Lonchura striata: one gene and its partner. The protein of the gene in region 1 interacts with the protein of each later gene in a pairwise test. Links are inferred from orthologs where the notes say so. Each region holds a gene or a part of one and is shown on either strand. Other genes may lie near its edges.

What was found.
Region 2: the proteins of transducin-like enhancer protein 1 (region 1) and transcription cofactor HES-6 interact in binary tests that used the Homo sapiens proteins (3 or more experiments, as listed by UniProt). The link is inferred for Lonchura striata from reciprocal best matches to the Homo sapiens genes TLE1 and HES6.

The regions. Positions count from the first base shown.
Region 1 is NC_134642.1:25,610,027-25,617,729, forward strand, and holds the start of transducin-like enhancer protein 1, read right to left. Parts: upstream 3,050-7,703; 5' UTR 2,717-3,049; coding exon 2,693-2,716; intron 2,375-2,692; exon of another isoform or gene 2,301-2,374; coding exon of another isoform or gene 2,286-2,300; intron 2,122-2,285; coding exon 2,021-2,121; intron 493-2,020; coding exon 429-492; intron 335-428; coding exon 290-334; intron 1-289. UniProt on the Homo sapiens protein: Transcriptional corepressor that binds to a number of transcription factors. Inhibits NF-kappa-B-regulated gene expression. Inhibits the transcriptional activation mediated by FOXA2, and by CTNNB1 and TCF family members in Wnt signaling.
Region 2 is NC_134612.1:2,192,298-2,199,512, reverse strand, and holds transcription cofactor HES-6, read left to right. Parts: upstream 1-4,974; coding exon 4,975-5,040; intron 5,041-5,110; coding exon 5,111-5,197; intron 5,198-5,272; coding exon 5,273-5,354; intron 5,355-5,438; coding exon 5,439-5,833; 3' UTR 5,834-6,550; downstream 6,551-7,215. UniProt on the Homo sapiens protein: Does not bind DNA itself but suppresses both HES1-mediated N box-dependent transcriptional repression and binding of HES1 to E box sequences.

The DNA of each region.
Region 1 (7,703 bases):
TCAAAATATCTCATACTTGCAAAGAACTGAACTGCATTTTTAAAATCACAGCTACAAGATCTTTTCTATTTATGCCAAAGTCTTTCAGAACCAATACCAAAAAAGGTGCTGCCACTTAACCTAATCTACACCTTATCTGACAGGAGGTAGGCAAAAGACTACTAATCAGGCTACAAATCAGGCTATTGATTCAGACACGATACCGTCATCTGACCATAAACAGCACAGATACATTTAAATGCACCAGACAGACTGCAGATTTTGCGGCTTCGAAAACAAAATGTCTTACCTGTTTGTGCATTTCAATGTTTAATCCATACGACATTTCATAGTACTGCAAATAAATGAGTACACGTTATTTTCTTATGCTGACTTACATTATATTAAAAGATATTTATTGAAATAAAGATAAAAACAAATATACTTACCATCACATAATGCCTCTGCATTTCCGTCTTTTCACTTGCCAGTTTCTCACATTCCAATTTAAGGCTACAAAATAGATCATGCTTTAATGTAACATGTCATTTTTTTTGGCATCTACCCTCCCTATTTGTATTTTGACATAAGCTGCTAATTAATAAAAAAAATAATAAACTGACTTGCAATATAGAAAGACTTAATCATACTTGAAATAAAAAGGCCAAAGAAGAAATTTAAAGAACATGCCTTGAGTGCTGTATTAGGCCTGAACTGTCTACAGAAACTAAACATATCCACTCTTCCTATTTTGACAAAGAGCTGCTATTAAGTGCTGCAACTTGCAAGTTAGAATAGGATCTGAATTTACTGTAAGTACTTTTCAGGAGTAAAAAAGATAAAAATAGAAGCATTTCTTTCTACACAGCATTTAGTAAGTGACTGCCAAGTAACACCACTCACATTTACAATTACAACTCGAGTATAATTCTTACCTTAAATACATTCTAGCAAATGTTACCTTGCCCAGTGCTTGAAAACTGGTAATTCTGAGTATCGTTTACTGGCAAGTTTCTTTTCCACTTTTGTTTTCATAAACAAAAGTAAGTTGCATTTACATGTCTCATCACAAACCATGATATAATTCTGACTACTTTCACCGAGAGCCTCAATGTTCCCTTTGTTTTCTATCAAACTGATTTTTTTAAAACTGTTACTTGTGAACATCCTATTGAACAGTTCATGTGCAAGCAGTATTTTTCACTCACAGCTACAAAGCCAGATGTTTAGAGTTTAAATTGTATTTCCTAAGCAATGAATGGCTTAAGCAAGTTAACGCTACAGTATCATAGGTAAAGGAAGAGGAAGCATAACTAAAACAAATCAATTTCTGACTGGGAAACCTGTAAAGCTTTTACTTCTGTCCAAATATTCCAGGTGCTCATAAGTACAAAATCAGTGAAGATTAATGCTCCTTAACACCACATGTCCAGGGTCAAAAAGAATCTGTACCCTAAATCTCTGGAAGGACCTCAGCAGCACGCACACACCCACAAAGAAGGGCAGCAACGAGACGTGCATCCCGCAACTTCCAAGGATTCTGGTAAACTTTGTTACTGCTCTGAGTACTTGTTTGTTTTAACCGTCCTTCCTGACTCTCAACCACAGGACGCTGGCATTTTATTAATTTTTGCATTAACACCACACACAAATGAGCAAACAGGAGAAGTAGCCTCCTTAACGCGCTGTGCCACAGAACCGGCGCAGGTCTTCCCGTGATACACTGAAATGACCCCTCCACATACGGGTTCCCAAGACACAGCGTGTTTTTTCAAACGCACAGAGCTGCCGAACGCTCCAGTTTCGGCAGTTCAAGCACGGGCCCGCGCAGGGCAGGGCTGTCCCCCGTGCGCGCCCGGTCCCCCCGGCAGCCCGCGCCGGGCCGGGGCCGCCCGCGCTCCCCTCCCGGCCCGGCGGGGTCCCCGCGGGGCTCGGCCGCGACGCCGCACGCCACCGCCTGGACGCGCCCGTTCGGTGCAGCCCCGCGCCGGCGGGGACCGCGCGGTAGTCCCTGGTCCCGGGGCGGCCCGCCGCCGCTCACCTGTGGTACTGCGCCTGGAGGAACTGGAACTCTTCTTTGATGCGGTCCAGCGACTCCGGGATGGTGAATTTAAAAGGCTGGCCCGCAGCCTGGTGCGGGGTCTGGCGCGGTGGCGGCACGGGAGAGAGATGCACGTTCAGACACTGCGCGGCCACCCCGCGAGGAAGAGGAGGGGGCGCCGTCCATCGCGGCCGAGGCGGAGGGCTAGAGAAAGCGTCCGGCCCGGTCCGCCTCCGCCCCGGGGCGCAGCGCACTTGTTACCCACCTTCCCGTCCCTCATCTGCGGTGGGACCGAGGTTAACCGCCCTCCGGATCCGACCCACCCGCTCCTGCCGCCGCCGTCTACACGAAAGCGGGAAGTGCCGACTCCTCCCCGCCGACCCCCGCCGCAGAGGCACAGCCAGCCCCGTTCCGGGCGCTGTGTGTTGGCGGATGCTGCCTGGCCCGGCGGCAAGCCCCCGCCGTCCTTCCCAAGGCAAGTAAGTTGCCCACGCAACAAAAAATACTGGGGGCCGTTCCGGCAGGCAGGATTAGCCGCTCGACCCCGGAGAGAATGAACTTGTGAGGGCACCTTCCTCTCCCTCCCCCCAGTTCCAGCCGAGCAACCGAGCTGGAGCTGCGCTGCGGACCGCCCGGCCCTCGCCCCGGACCGGCGGCCCAAGCCATACTTACGGGGTGCCGGCTCTGGGGGAACATGGCTCCGGCCACGGCGGGTCTCCCTCGCAGCGCGGCTCTCGCGGCGAGACGCCCTGCCCTGCCCCGGCTTCACACCCGGTGCGCCAAGGGGACCGGAGCGGCGACACCCGCCGACGGCCTTCCCTCCGCCGCCGCGGGCAGCAGCGGGGCGAGGCGCGGCTCAGTGCCCCCGCCGCGGGGACATTCCCCAGCCGCGGCGTCCTTTGTTGCTGTTGTTCCAAGGAGGGCTGAAGATGGCCGGGAAAGGCGGACGAGCCGCGCTTGGGACGGTCACCAGCGCTCTGCGCTCTTTCGGCGGCGCTCCGACCGGCGGGCGGCGCCCGCAACGCCCGGGCGCGGCGGGACGGGACCCGACGGGGCTCGGGGGGGAGGCAACAGCCGCCCCTCGGCAGGAGCGAATAATCCCCTTCACGGGCTCGCAGTGGTCGATGCGATTGTAAGGCCGGAAACCCCAGGCGGAGGCGACTCTTCTCTTCTGCCCCTTGTCAAAAGGGGAAAATCCAGCCGGAGGGAGGGGATCGCAGTGTCCGCGGCGGGAGCGTCGCAAGCCGAGGGGGCGAAGAAAGTCTCCAGGCAGGCACGCGTTGCTCCCAGGCGTCGGCGCAGGGGCCAAACCACCCGCAAGACACAGGGCGATGAACAAGGGAGGAAGGCAGGAGGAGGAGGAAGGAGGCGGGCGGGGGCTCTCGCACAGACGTCGCGGATCGGAGCAGCTCCAATAGCAGATGCACGAAACGCTGGAGGGCAGAGGAAAGGGTACCACACACGCAGCACAGACTCTGCCGTTAGTTGCAGAGAAGTCCCCAGGACAAAAGGAAAGCAAACCCCTCAAGATGCTCGCTGGCTTTAGCCTCCAGGCAACCAGCCCCGTTGGGGAAGATTAAAAAAAAAAAAAAAAAGAAAAAAAAAAATAGAAATGAAAGCGTTCGTTTGAGGTTCAAATCAGACGGGAAGCTCCTTCGTGCAACAGCCACCACTACAGCCTCTTACTGGCGGGCGCGTATCTGGGAGCTGCGCGTCTCACCAGAACCCCCCTATCGCGATACATCGCGGCAACATCAGCAGCATCATCCTCATCCTCGCTCTCCTCCGCGGTGGCCCGGGATAAAGTTCCTCCCAGCTGAAAAATCCGAACGGGAACACCACCGGCTTCCTTTGCCCCGGCCCCTCCGCGCCGGCCAAGGGCAAGGAGAAGCCGAGGCGGCGGCCTGGCGGGCGGCGCTCGGCGGGACCGGAGCGCGGCTGCGGCCGAGCTGGACACGCCGAGCTCGCCCGCGCCGCTTACATTAGCACGCGGTTTCACACTCCGCCGGCTAACCAGCCGCGCGGCCCCGCCCACGCCGCCGCGCGGGGGGGCGGCCGGCCAATCGCCGGCCCCGCCGCCAACGTGGGCCCGTGACGCGGCGCGGCCCCGCGGCCCAATGGCAGGAGCCGGAGTCGCGCCGCCTCCCGGCTCTCGCTGGGCCGCGTCTCTGCGGCGGAGCGGCGGCCGCGCTCGGAGCCGGCCAATGGGAGGGCGCGGGGCGCGCGGCGCCGCGGGGGGCGGGGAAGGTCGGCGGGAAGGAGAGCGGGGAGGCCGCGCTGTCCGTCAAAGTAACGTGGGGCCCGCGCGCGCGGGCGGGGCTGCGGCAGCGGGCGCGCGGCGCCTGCGCGCGGCGGCTCCGCCGGAGCCGCGGGGCGGCTCCGTCCGGCTCGGGCAGCGCCTCAGCTCCGCACCGCCCGCTCCCCCTGCGCTGCCCGCATCACACTGCCCGCTCCGCACTGCCCGCATCACACTGCCCGCACCGCACTGCCCGCTCCGCACTGCCCGCATCACACTGCCCTCATCACACTGCCTTCATCACACTGCCCGCATCACACTGCCCGCATCACACTGCCCTCATCACACTGCCTTCATCACACTGCCCTCATCACACTGCCCTCATCGCACTGCCCGCTCCGCACTGCCCTCATCACACTGCCCGCATCACACTGCCCGCATCACACTGCCCTCATCACACTGCCCGCATCACACTGCCCGCTCCGCACCGCCCGCTCCCCCTGCGCTGCCCGCATCACACTGCCCGCACCGCACTGCCCGCATCACACTGCCCTCATCACACTGCCCTCATCACACTGCCCGCATCACACTGCCCTCATCGCACTGCCCGCATCGCACTGCCCGCATCACACTGCCCTCATCACACTGCCCTCATCGCACTGCCCTCATCGCACTGCCCGCATCGCACTGCCCGCTCCGCACTGCCCGCATCGCACTGCCCGCTCCGCACTGCCCGCTCTGCACTGCCCTCATCACACTGCCCGCATCACACTGCCCTCATCGCACTGCCCGCATCGCACTGCCCGCATCACACTGCCCTCATCACACTGCCCTCATCGCACTGCCCTCATCGCACTGCCCGCATCGCACTGCCCGCATCGTACTGCCCTCATCGCACTGCCCTCATCGCACTGCCCGCACCGCACTGCCCGCACTGCCCGCTCCGCGCCCCAGCCCCAGAGCGGCGGCGACGCCCGTGACAGTGCGGCGGGTGGGTCGGGCGCACGGCCCCACCTCGTTCGCCAAACGGCGGCGGCGGGGCCGCGGCACCTGCTGACAACGCGCCGTGGAAAACGCCGAGGGAAGGATGAGCCCTCCCGCGTGCTTGCGCGACTCAGGGCACGCCAACTGCCGTGTTGGTTGGAATGACCCTCTGATCCCACGGAAGCTGTCCTTTGGGGAAAACTGCCTTCTTTTTAAGAGGGGTCTGATAGAGGAAAGCTGTCAATAACTTTGGTTTATAGGCCCACTTGAGATAGATGAGGGTCAAACAAATTCCACAGGCTCTGTGTGCTTGCTGAGGAGATGACAAATGGTGACATAGCTTGCAGTGGGAAGTACACTTCAAAACATATCCTCTATTAGCAAGCACCTTATTCATAGCAGAATTCCACAATGAAGTGTGAAATACCTCTGGACTTAAGACATTGCCTTAATACACACTTTTGCTGTTGGTATATACTTGTGTGCTGCCTAAAAAGAGGTCTTAGAATGTTGAACCACATCATTTAAACATGGTAAGGGTATTTTTTATAATTCCCCACTAGCCTTTAGAGATTGCTTCCTTAGAATTACATTGTGGTTCATCTTGTATCCTAAAGAAAGAGCATTCTGTGTTTAATATTTGATAGGAAATCTAATGTTTTGCAATATCAAAGTAAAGCTTTACTCCTTCAGAGTGATAATTTCCCATTATTATTCCCAAAATGTTCTGTATTCCCAGTTTTACTTAAAAACATCCAACACAAAAGGGAGTGAAATTGTCTCAGTCTTCTGCAGTGAAAAGTTTGGACTTTGTTCCAGGACAGCAGAGTTTTGTCAATGAGCACTGATACATCTGTGTCTCCGTGCATGTCTGTATATATGTATACAATAGGGTCTATATATAATGGGGTCTATATATAATGGGGTCTGTACCTATACATATGCTTGTATGTTTCTGTTAATGCATATGATGCATATATGCATGCATCCTGGGGAATGCATAAATAAACATGGACTTTTAATGGTTTCTAAGAGATGTGACAAAATATCCTTGATAGTGAGCTTTGATAGACTGTGGTTCCCAGGATGGGAGTGTAAACTTGTCTGGTGTTCCACCTGCATAGGCAAAGCTTAAAGTCTTGCATTCTGTTCCCAGCTCTTCCCTTGTTGTGTTGGACAAGCCAGCTCACTGCTCAGTTCATGGCAATGGAAAGCTTAATTACTTAATGCTTATTAAAGTACTTAGATCTTCAGATGAAAGGTGCCATAAAAATGCAAACTATGATTATATACTTTGTGTGTGTATCTAGTAGCTATGGAGTCTATAATAATGTAACAATTACCTAAGTTTTGTTGTACTTTGCTTAACCTGCTGGCACAAGTTGTTAAAGAGACATTGACAGATATGACATTAAAACAACACTAAGTTTTGGAACATAAACAAAAGGGGTTTGGTTTTTTTCTTAATTGCTCACCTACATGAAAGTTGAAATGTCATGTTACCTATATTTGTCAACATTAAAACATCCAAGGCATGTTTTAACAGAAGGAGAAAAGCTCTGTTTTCCTGGTTCTTATTAACAAGTGCTTTTAACCTTCTTTGATTCTGGAATCAGACACTTAAGGGCATTTTGAATCTTATCCATTGTATTTAAGAGAGAAGAGCTGTACAAGCAGAAGTAGAATCAAATGTGCTCTTTTTTTTTGTTTGTTTTTGTTTTTGTTTTGTTTTGTTTTTAATGAGAGCTACTGACATTACATAGCAGGAATTATAACCAACATGATCTGATGTTTAACTAATTTATAATGCATCATCACTGGCTCATTAAAGCATGAAAAAAATTCGTTTTGTTGGATGGGTATAAATCTGGATTAATTCCAGGAAACTGAACATTCTCGTTCCATGGCAATATTCACTATTTACTCCATAGAAAGGCAGCAAAATATGGTTAAGCATGTTGTATTCAAGTAGGTAGCATTCTGCCACAATGCTGTATATACTCTACACAATTCTCCAACTGGATTAAAAATACTTGTTTTTAAATTTCTGTCTCAGGTTTCAAAAATAAAAATATTTCCTTCAGTATTAACCCTTCCAACTGTTCTGCCCAGTCATCCGTTTTACTCTGTTGTTTGAAATAAATTGTTTTTTACTGTAAAAATGTTTGTGTCATCTTCCTACCTCATAAAGCAAAAGGCCTAATCCTAAACTGGCTACCAAAAATTCACACTGGAAGCAGTTGGAGTTTTGAGTGAAAAAAAAGCATGCTTGGGTCCAAAATGTAGGTTAAATACGCTGAAAGAGTTTCAGATGTAGCATCCATTCCTTAGCAAAACTATGATGTTCTGTTTATTGCATTGTTTATTCTTTTCCTTCACTGTTCATGGTACTTTTTATGAGCAATATTCTTTTAACTTTGTGCAAACTGGCATATTAAACAAAGATGTTGATGAAGTTAATCA
Region 2 (7,215 bases), on another chromosome or scaffold:
TTACAAACATAGCATAAAACCCATGATGAAGACAGCCCCATGATAAAGATAACTTTCAATTACCAAAAATATTAGAGACATCAAATACAAGAGGCTTCCCTGGAAACACAATGTTACTGCTCCCTTCAGCACCACAGGCAGCCTCTGGAGTTTTTTATCCAACTGTACTTGCTTCAGACAATTATTCTCACCCCTCTGAAATACCTTCCACAAACATAATGTGCCCAGGCGATGCTCTCTGCAACAGGATCCTGCCACAGTCAGTGACAGACCACAGCTAAATGGCAGGAGCTGAAGCAGTTTGCAAAGCTTTATGAGTTCAGGCTTCTCTTTGCAGGAGGCTAGCAGGGTGACAAGGTAAGAAACATGGCACTGAGGGTTTTGCTGGGGCAGTGCCCCCGTGCACAGCACCCATCCATCCCTCACCACCGGGAGAGGCTCTGCTCTCCTCTCTGCTTGCTCAGCACAGCCCCTCACCATTGCTTCCATTAGGAAATCACCACCTCTGAAATGGCAAAAAGTCAAAGTACCTTTGACAGAAGGCTGGGCCCGTCTTCTCAGGCAAAAGGGACCCCCAGCTTCCACAGGAACAAATGCAGTCGAGGGGCTCCTCTGTGAATGGACATAAGACCCTTTTGAACGCTACTCATTAGTGTTTTGGCTGGCATGAACTGTTCCTCTGTGCCCCAGCTGATGAACACTAGCACTGCTGCCAAGTCTGCTGATAAATAAATAAGGATAGGAAAAGCCTTATGGTTTCTGAAAAGGGCAGCAGGAACTCAGTGCTCAAGGCAGCAAACACAATTTGCAGTAACAAACAGACTGGAGTCCAAGAGCAGCTCAGTGGTGACATTCAACCCTATTTTCCTCTTAAACATCAGCTATTAACAGCAGAGAAATCGATGGCACTGAGGGCAGCTAGGATCCAGCTGATGGGGAATGCTGCAGCCTTCTCCCAACAGCCTTCCTCATTCACTCCATTTATCACCTACAGCCTCAGCTCTTCCAGCTCCAGCCTCACTCCTCTGCTCCTCAGCTCTGCAAGCAGGACTAATCTTCATCAGTGACAAGGCAAGAGACTAATTACAGTACACATTTCATTTGTGACTGGACCCCAGGGAAAGGAGGAGGGGGAAGAAAGCTTTCGGCTTGCTCTGCCAGCTAAACAGTTTGTATTTGTTAGTGCAGAAATAAGTCCGATGGCAGCCAACTGATGCATAAGGAGCAGCTCACCCATTAACCTCACATCCACAGTTCACACCCACCACCATTTATATGCACCATTAATATTTATAAGGATGACGTGTCTTTTTGACAGGAACTTGTGCCTCCAGTGACAACAGATGTTATACCATTTATGAAAGAAACTACTCAAGCATTTCCAATGGACCTTGTGCATGCTCATCATGTCTTTATCCCGTGCCCTGATTGTATTATTCACACAGAGCCTGGGTCACCTCCTGACTCCAGTCCAAGGGCATGCATGGCAGACACACTTGCCTGTAGAGTACTCAAAAATGCTTTGAGCTTTATTATGTCTTTGTGAATGCTCTTCTGGGAGACAGAGACCTTCCAAATGCACCTGCCAACTGAAACAGAAGCGTGCGAGGCCATGACGTGTCAGAAATGAGGATCTGGCACTTAGCTGGGTCTCCAAAATGCATGGCACATAGCTGAGGCTCCAGGATGGCCTCCCACAATTGCCCTTGCCACTGTCACCACAGCTGCATTAGTGCTCATGCACCTCCTAGAAAGAATTAAAGCCTGTTTTATAGTGTGTTATACTACTCTACACACAGGCTTGCAGGAGAACACATGCAGCAAGGCCCAGATGCTATTATCTCTGCTAAAATGATGCTGTTCCTTGGCCAAACTGCCATTTATAGCTTGTGTAGGAGCCTGTCTCTGGCAGGACAGAGCTCCCTGCTCTAGCAAAGGTTAAACTCCCACCCTTCATGCAGGAGGAAGCAGTGCCTGTACACATCCCCTCAGCAGGGAGCAGGATGGGCTTAACCTGGTTAAAATACAGATGAATTGATGGGTTTAGTGAAATCTTCAGGAGCCACCACACATGGACAAACACCGAGGTATTGGACAAGGCATCTAAGCAATGTTCTCTTTCACTAGATTGCAGTTGACATTTCTATTAAAATGCATGAGATTACCATGATTCGCTTCACCTGATGTGATGGAACTTGTTTAAAGTAGCACAAAAATGTCACATTGTCCCTGTGGGCTAGAGGAGATAGCCTGCAGTGACTTCCTCCTCCAGAATAGCAGCTCTAGTGATGCCCTGATATTTATGGCACATGCATTTTTAATGCCCTGCACAAACAGCTCCAGCATTTGTCAACTCATTTGACCTGCAGCTTTTCAAAGAAAATACAAAAAGACACGCTGCAGAACAAGAGCCAGCAATATGTACAACGCCTTGCCATCAGCACCTGCCCAGTCAGAGCAGAAACAGGATGGTACAGCCATGGCCAACTCTTTCTGGCCATTTTTAGCCAAGATTTGCTGCTGAAGTCTCCTCGTGCATCCAGAAGTGCTCACCTTGTGCCTCCAGCTCCTCACTGCTCAAAAACTCAGATGGAGGCTTGTGAGAGATCATTGCTGTTCAGCAGCCACCAGAGTTTCATCTGACACATCTGAACCTCGACTGGGGTGAATTCGGGAGCTCCTTCCCTTCTCACTTCTCTACGTTAACAAAGCAGTGCCTCAAACCCAAGTTAGCTGTGAAACACAGCTGGTACAAACACCTGCAGTGAAGAGGCCTGGCAGGTTTGGGGACTGCACAGGATTTACACCAGTGTTAATCTCACTGTTTGAGCAGGGAATAAATGAATATTTGTTTGGTTTGCTTTTACCCCCACCAGTAACCAGGCCCACCCACTTCCCCCCACTCCCATTCTAGGAAAAGCTGAGCTTTCTCTGAAAAGAAAAAGAGCTCACAAACGCTTGGAATTCATATTTTACCAACAATTACATACATTGTGTGTTACAGCACATTTACCGGATGTTTGTGTGCATTTGTGTATTTTTATACACCTCTGATGCCTTAGGTGCCTAGTTTTGGTTCAGAACAAGGACAGTTCTTCAAAATTGTGACACCCATTACTTTGCTGCAGTTTGCATGCACGCAGTCATGGTTCTCCCCTGCCACTTAGGTAGGCTAAGTATGCATCAGCCAGGCACAGAATGGTCACAGGTGTCTCTGCTTCAGTACAAGAATGTTCTGTATTTGGCCTGGTCCAAACAGTATTTCTGCTTAGCCAGCACTAGTTATATCATCAAAAAGAATGAGCTGCTTGCCACATTGTGTCACGCAGAGAATTCAGTGCATCAGAGGCAGAAGGACAGATTTAGGCATCCAGCCCCCAGTACATCCCACTCTGCTCCTGCCTGGTGCAGGGAAACTTGTCACCACCTGAACAGACTCTGACAAAACCCAAGCACTGATGCTTTCACATAAAAGGACAAAACACACCAGAAAACACCTTTCTGAAAACAACACCTCCTGTCCACCGTGATACAAAACAAAGAGTGGCCCAAGCTTAGGTCTCCAGCCAGGATATCCCACGGCCTGGCTTTATCCTTCTGCACTCCGTGATGGCTTTGGGCAGGCAGTGCCGAGCCTCTCCGTCCTCTCCTGTCACACAGGGATTAGCACGGCGTAGGCACGGAGCTTTTCAGGGCGCTTTGAAGATGAAAAGCAGCGCTGAGCAGCGGCGGACTGCCGGCAGCAAGGGCCAGCCCGGCCTTTCCCGGAGCAGGTGCCGGTACCCGCCGGGCCCGCCCGGCACCCACCCCGCCGTGGCTCCAGCTCATCAGACCTCTCCGCAAGGAAAGCTTCAGCACCAGCAAAGGCAAAGGGGAGACAAACCGGGAGGAAGCCGGAGCAGGAGGGGAGCGAGCGGGCGGCTCCGCGCCGCCAGCGCCGCTGCAAGCGGGGAACGCGTCTCCCGTTTCCTCGGGCGGCAAAAACATGACACGCATTAGCGAGGAGAATAAAAGCAGGGAAACAAAGGAGCGGGAGCGAACACCTGTCGCTCTCCTCGGGGACGAGCCCTAATGCTTTTATTTGCCTCGGTCTGCCGGGGAACTGCAGCTGCCAACTGTCATCAGCGTCAAGTTACCGCACAAAGCTGCGCGGCTCTTTCAGCCGGGGCGGCACCGAGCTCTCCGCTGCCCGTGGCCACCGGGCAGGGAGCAGCCCCGGGGCTGGGGATGCGCTGCACCGCCGAGCAGCCGCGGAGCCCCGCACAGCCACGGCCGCAAGGAGCGCGTCCTGCCGGGCTGGCACCGCGCCCCGGCCCGAGAGCCGCCCCATCCGCTGGCACGGGCAGGACAAGACCGGTTCCGTGGCCAGCTGTGCCTGCTTAGTCCCACGGCTTCCCGGTCACGGCTCAGACCGACTCTGGCACGCCCAGGTCGGTGCTGATGCCCCGCCGGTAGCTAGCCGGCCCCGCTGTGCTCTCCGTTCCACGAGCACCCCGGCGCGCACACACGGGCGTTCCGCGGCCCTGGGCCCGGAACGGGCGCTGGGCTTTGGGCTTCACTGGGGCACGCTGCCGGCAGGGGCGCGGCCCGGCTCAGTACGGCACGGCAGGGCACGACCCGGTTCGGCCCGGCCCGGCTCGGCATCGCTCAGTACGGCACGGCCCGGCATGGCCCGGCACGGCCCGGCACGGCACGGCCCGGTACAGCACGGAAAGGCGCGGCACAGCACGGCCCGGTACAGCACGGAAAGGCGCCGCACGGCACGGCCCGCGCCCGCTGCGGGCCCGGGCCCAGCGCCGGGCCGCTCCGGCCGCCCCGCCCCGCCGCAGACAAAGCGCGCGGCCGCCATTGGCCCGTTCGGCCAACGCTCGGCGCGGCCCGCGCGGCGCGGCCAATGGGCTCATTGACATGCAAATCGCGGGGTATAAAAGCGGCGGCGCGGGGCGGGAGCGGCGCGCAGCGAGCGGAGCGGCCATGGCGCCGGGCACGGAGCGCCCGCCGCACGGCGAGGGCTGCGCGGGGCCCCGCGGCGACCGGAGGGTGAGCGGCGGGCGGGGCCGGGCCCGGAGGGGCGGCGGGGGGCGGGCTGACGGCGCTGTTGTCCCCGCAGACGAGGAAGCCGCTGGTGGAGAAGAAGCGCCGGGCGCGCATCAACGAGAGCCTGCGGGAGCTGCGGCTGCTGCTGGCCGACAGCGAGGTGAGGCGGCGGCGCGGCGGGGCGGGGGCCGGCGGGGCCCGGGGCCGCGCTGACGGCCGCGGCGCCCCGGGTCAGTTTCAGGCGAAGCTGGAGAACGCGGAGGTGCTGGAGCGGACGGTGCGGCGGGTGCGGGCCGCGCTGGAGCGCCGCGCCCGCGGTGAGTGCCGGCCCGGGGCGCGGCGGGGGGCGGCCGGCCCGGCCCGCGCCTCGCCCGCGCCCCTCGCTGCGCCCCGCGCCGCAGCGGCCGGGCGGCGGCTCCTGGAGGCCAGCGAGCGCTTCGCCGCCGGCTACATCCAGTGCATGCACGAGGTGCACACCTTCGTCTCCAGCTGCCCCGGCATCGACGCCACCACGGCGGCCGAGCTGCTCAACCACCTGCTGGAGTCCATGCCCCTCAGCGAGGGCGGCTGCCCGGACTCGCTCACGGACCTTGCCGGGGAGCCGGCGCTCGGGCCCTGGCCCGCCGGCCGGGCGCCGGTGCCGCCGGCCGCAGCCCGCCCGGGCCCGGCGCTGCCCGGCCCCGGCGCGGAGACCCGCTCGGGCCCGGGCCAGACCGACACGGACGGACTGCTCGCGTCCCTGACGCGGGGCCTGCCCTCGCCCGGCTCGCCCAAATCCATGTGGAGACCCTGGTAACAGCGGAGCGCAGTCAGCGCGACCTGCCTGCGGTTCGGTGTGGGTGTCCGTGTGTCCGTGCGTGTGCCTGCCCGTGTGAGTGTCTGTGTGTCTGTCTGTGAGTGTGTGCGCGGCTGGCAGCGCTGTCACTGCGGACTCGGCACTGATGCTGTCGCACCCTGACAGCCTAATCGGGAACGCGTTAACATTTCATCCCCCGTGTGTGGCATTTTGTAACTTTTGGGGTTTTTTTTACGAGAGGATTGGGGGGGGGGGGAGGAGGGAAGTGGTTTGTAGTAGCAGAGCTCTCTGGTGGAGACACAGCAGTTATAACTCTGTTTCTTCTTGGCCCTTAGAAGCGGCCCAAACACCACTACCTTTTGAGCAAAAACCCTTGTGCATTTTAAATCGTGATAGTTAATGCCGAGAGAAGCTGGAGCTAAGTCTGCATGCACGGTTTTAAGCGTTCTAGTGATAGCATAGACCCCTGAAGGGTGTCTGTACCTGATAGCAGCCTAAAGTCTCACCTTTAGCAAAGGGAGAGAAAACTAGAAACTTGGTGGAAATAGACGTTTTAAAAGATGTTGGTGACAGGGTGCCTTTTAGAAACGAGTGTCTTTATGCACATTTTGCTTTTAGCACATTTGAATTTATTGTGACTTTATGTATATTAGGGTGTCAAATGTTTTTTTTATTTTTAATCTTTAATAAAAAAAACCCTGAATTCACAACGTGGCATATATTGTGTAATGTGGTACTCTTCTAACTGTTTAAAAACATTAAAAATACAGCTCCTCTTGTTGGCTCTTAACACCAGTATATCATGGAAACAATGCTGGTAATTAAGCACTCAATTATTGTACTAAGCATTGTTAACTATTGGAATTCAAATATTTCTTTTGTCTAATTCTAGTTGACACTTAAGTTTATTGAATGAGCAAGGTCAGACTGGCTGAGGTTGGTCCTAGGCCACAGAGTTTGAGGCTGGTTGGTCGGGATGCCAGGCTCAAGCCTGTTCTACTTGATCTGCCCTCTGAAGGCGTTGCTCACACATGCACAGCCCTAACTTCAGAAGTGCTAGGCAAATCCTGTCCTGGGGCAGAACTTCACAGGAGGGTGGTTTGCTTTTTGGGGTTTTTTTTTGTTGGTGGAGAGTGAAATAAGACTATTGAATAGAGTGTGCAGTAGATTTGAAAAGTGTTCTGTAATGTTTCTGGGGGCTTGGAGGGGGTCCCTCAGCATTCTTATCCTGATTCCTGCTTTGGGGAGGTGGAAGGTTATTTCTGCTGTGATACAATACCTTTCAGAGAGCTGTCATTGTAAAGAGGGGAAAAATGGGATTGTAAAGTGTCTTAATACATGGAAGTTCTCAAACATAGAGCAAGCAATAAAGGAAGCAGTGA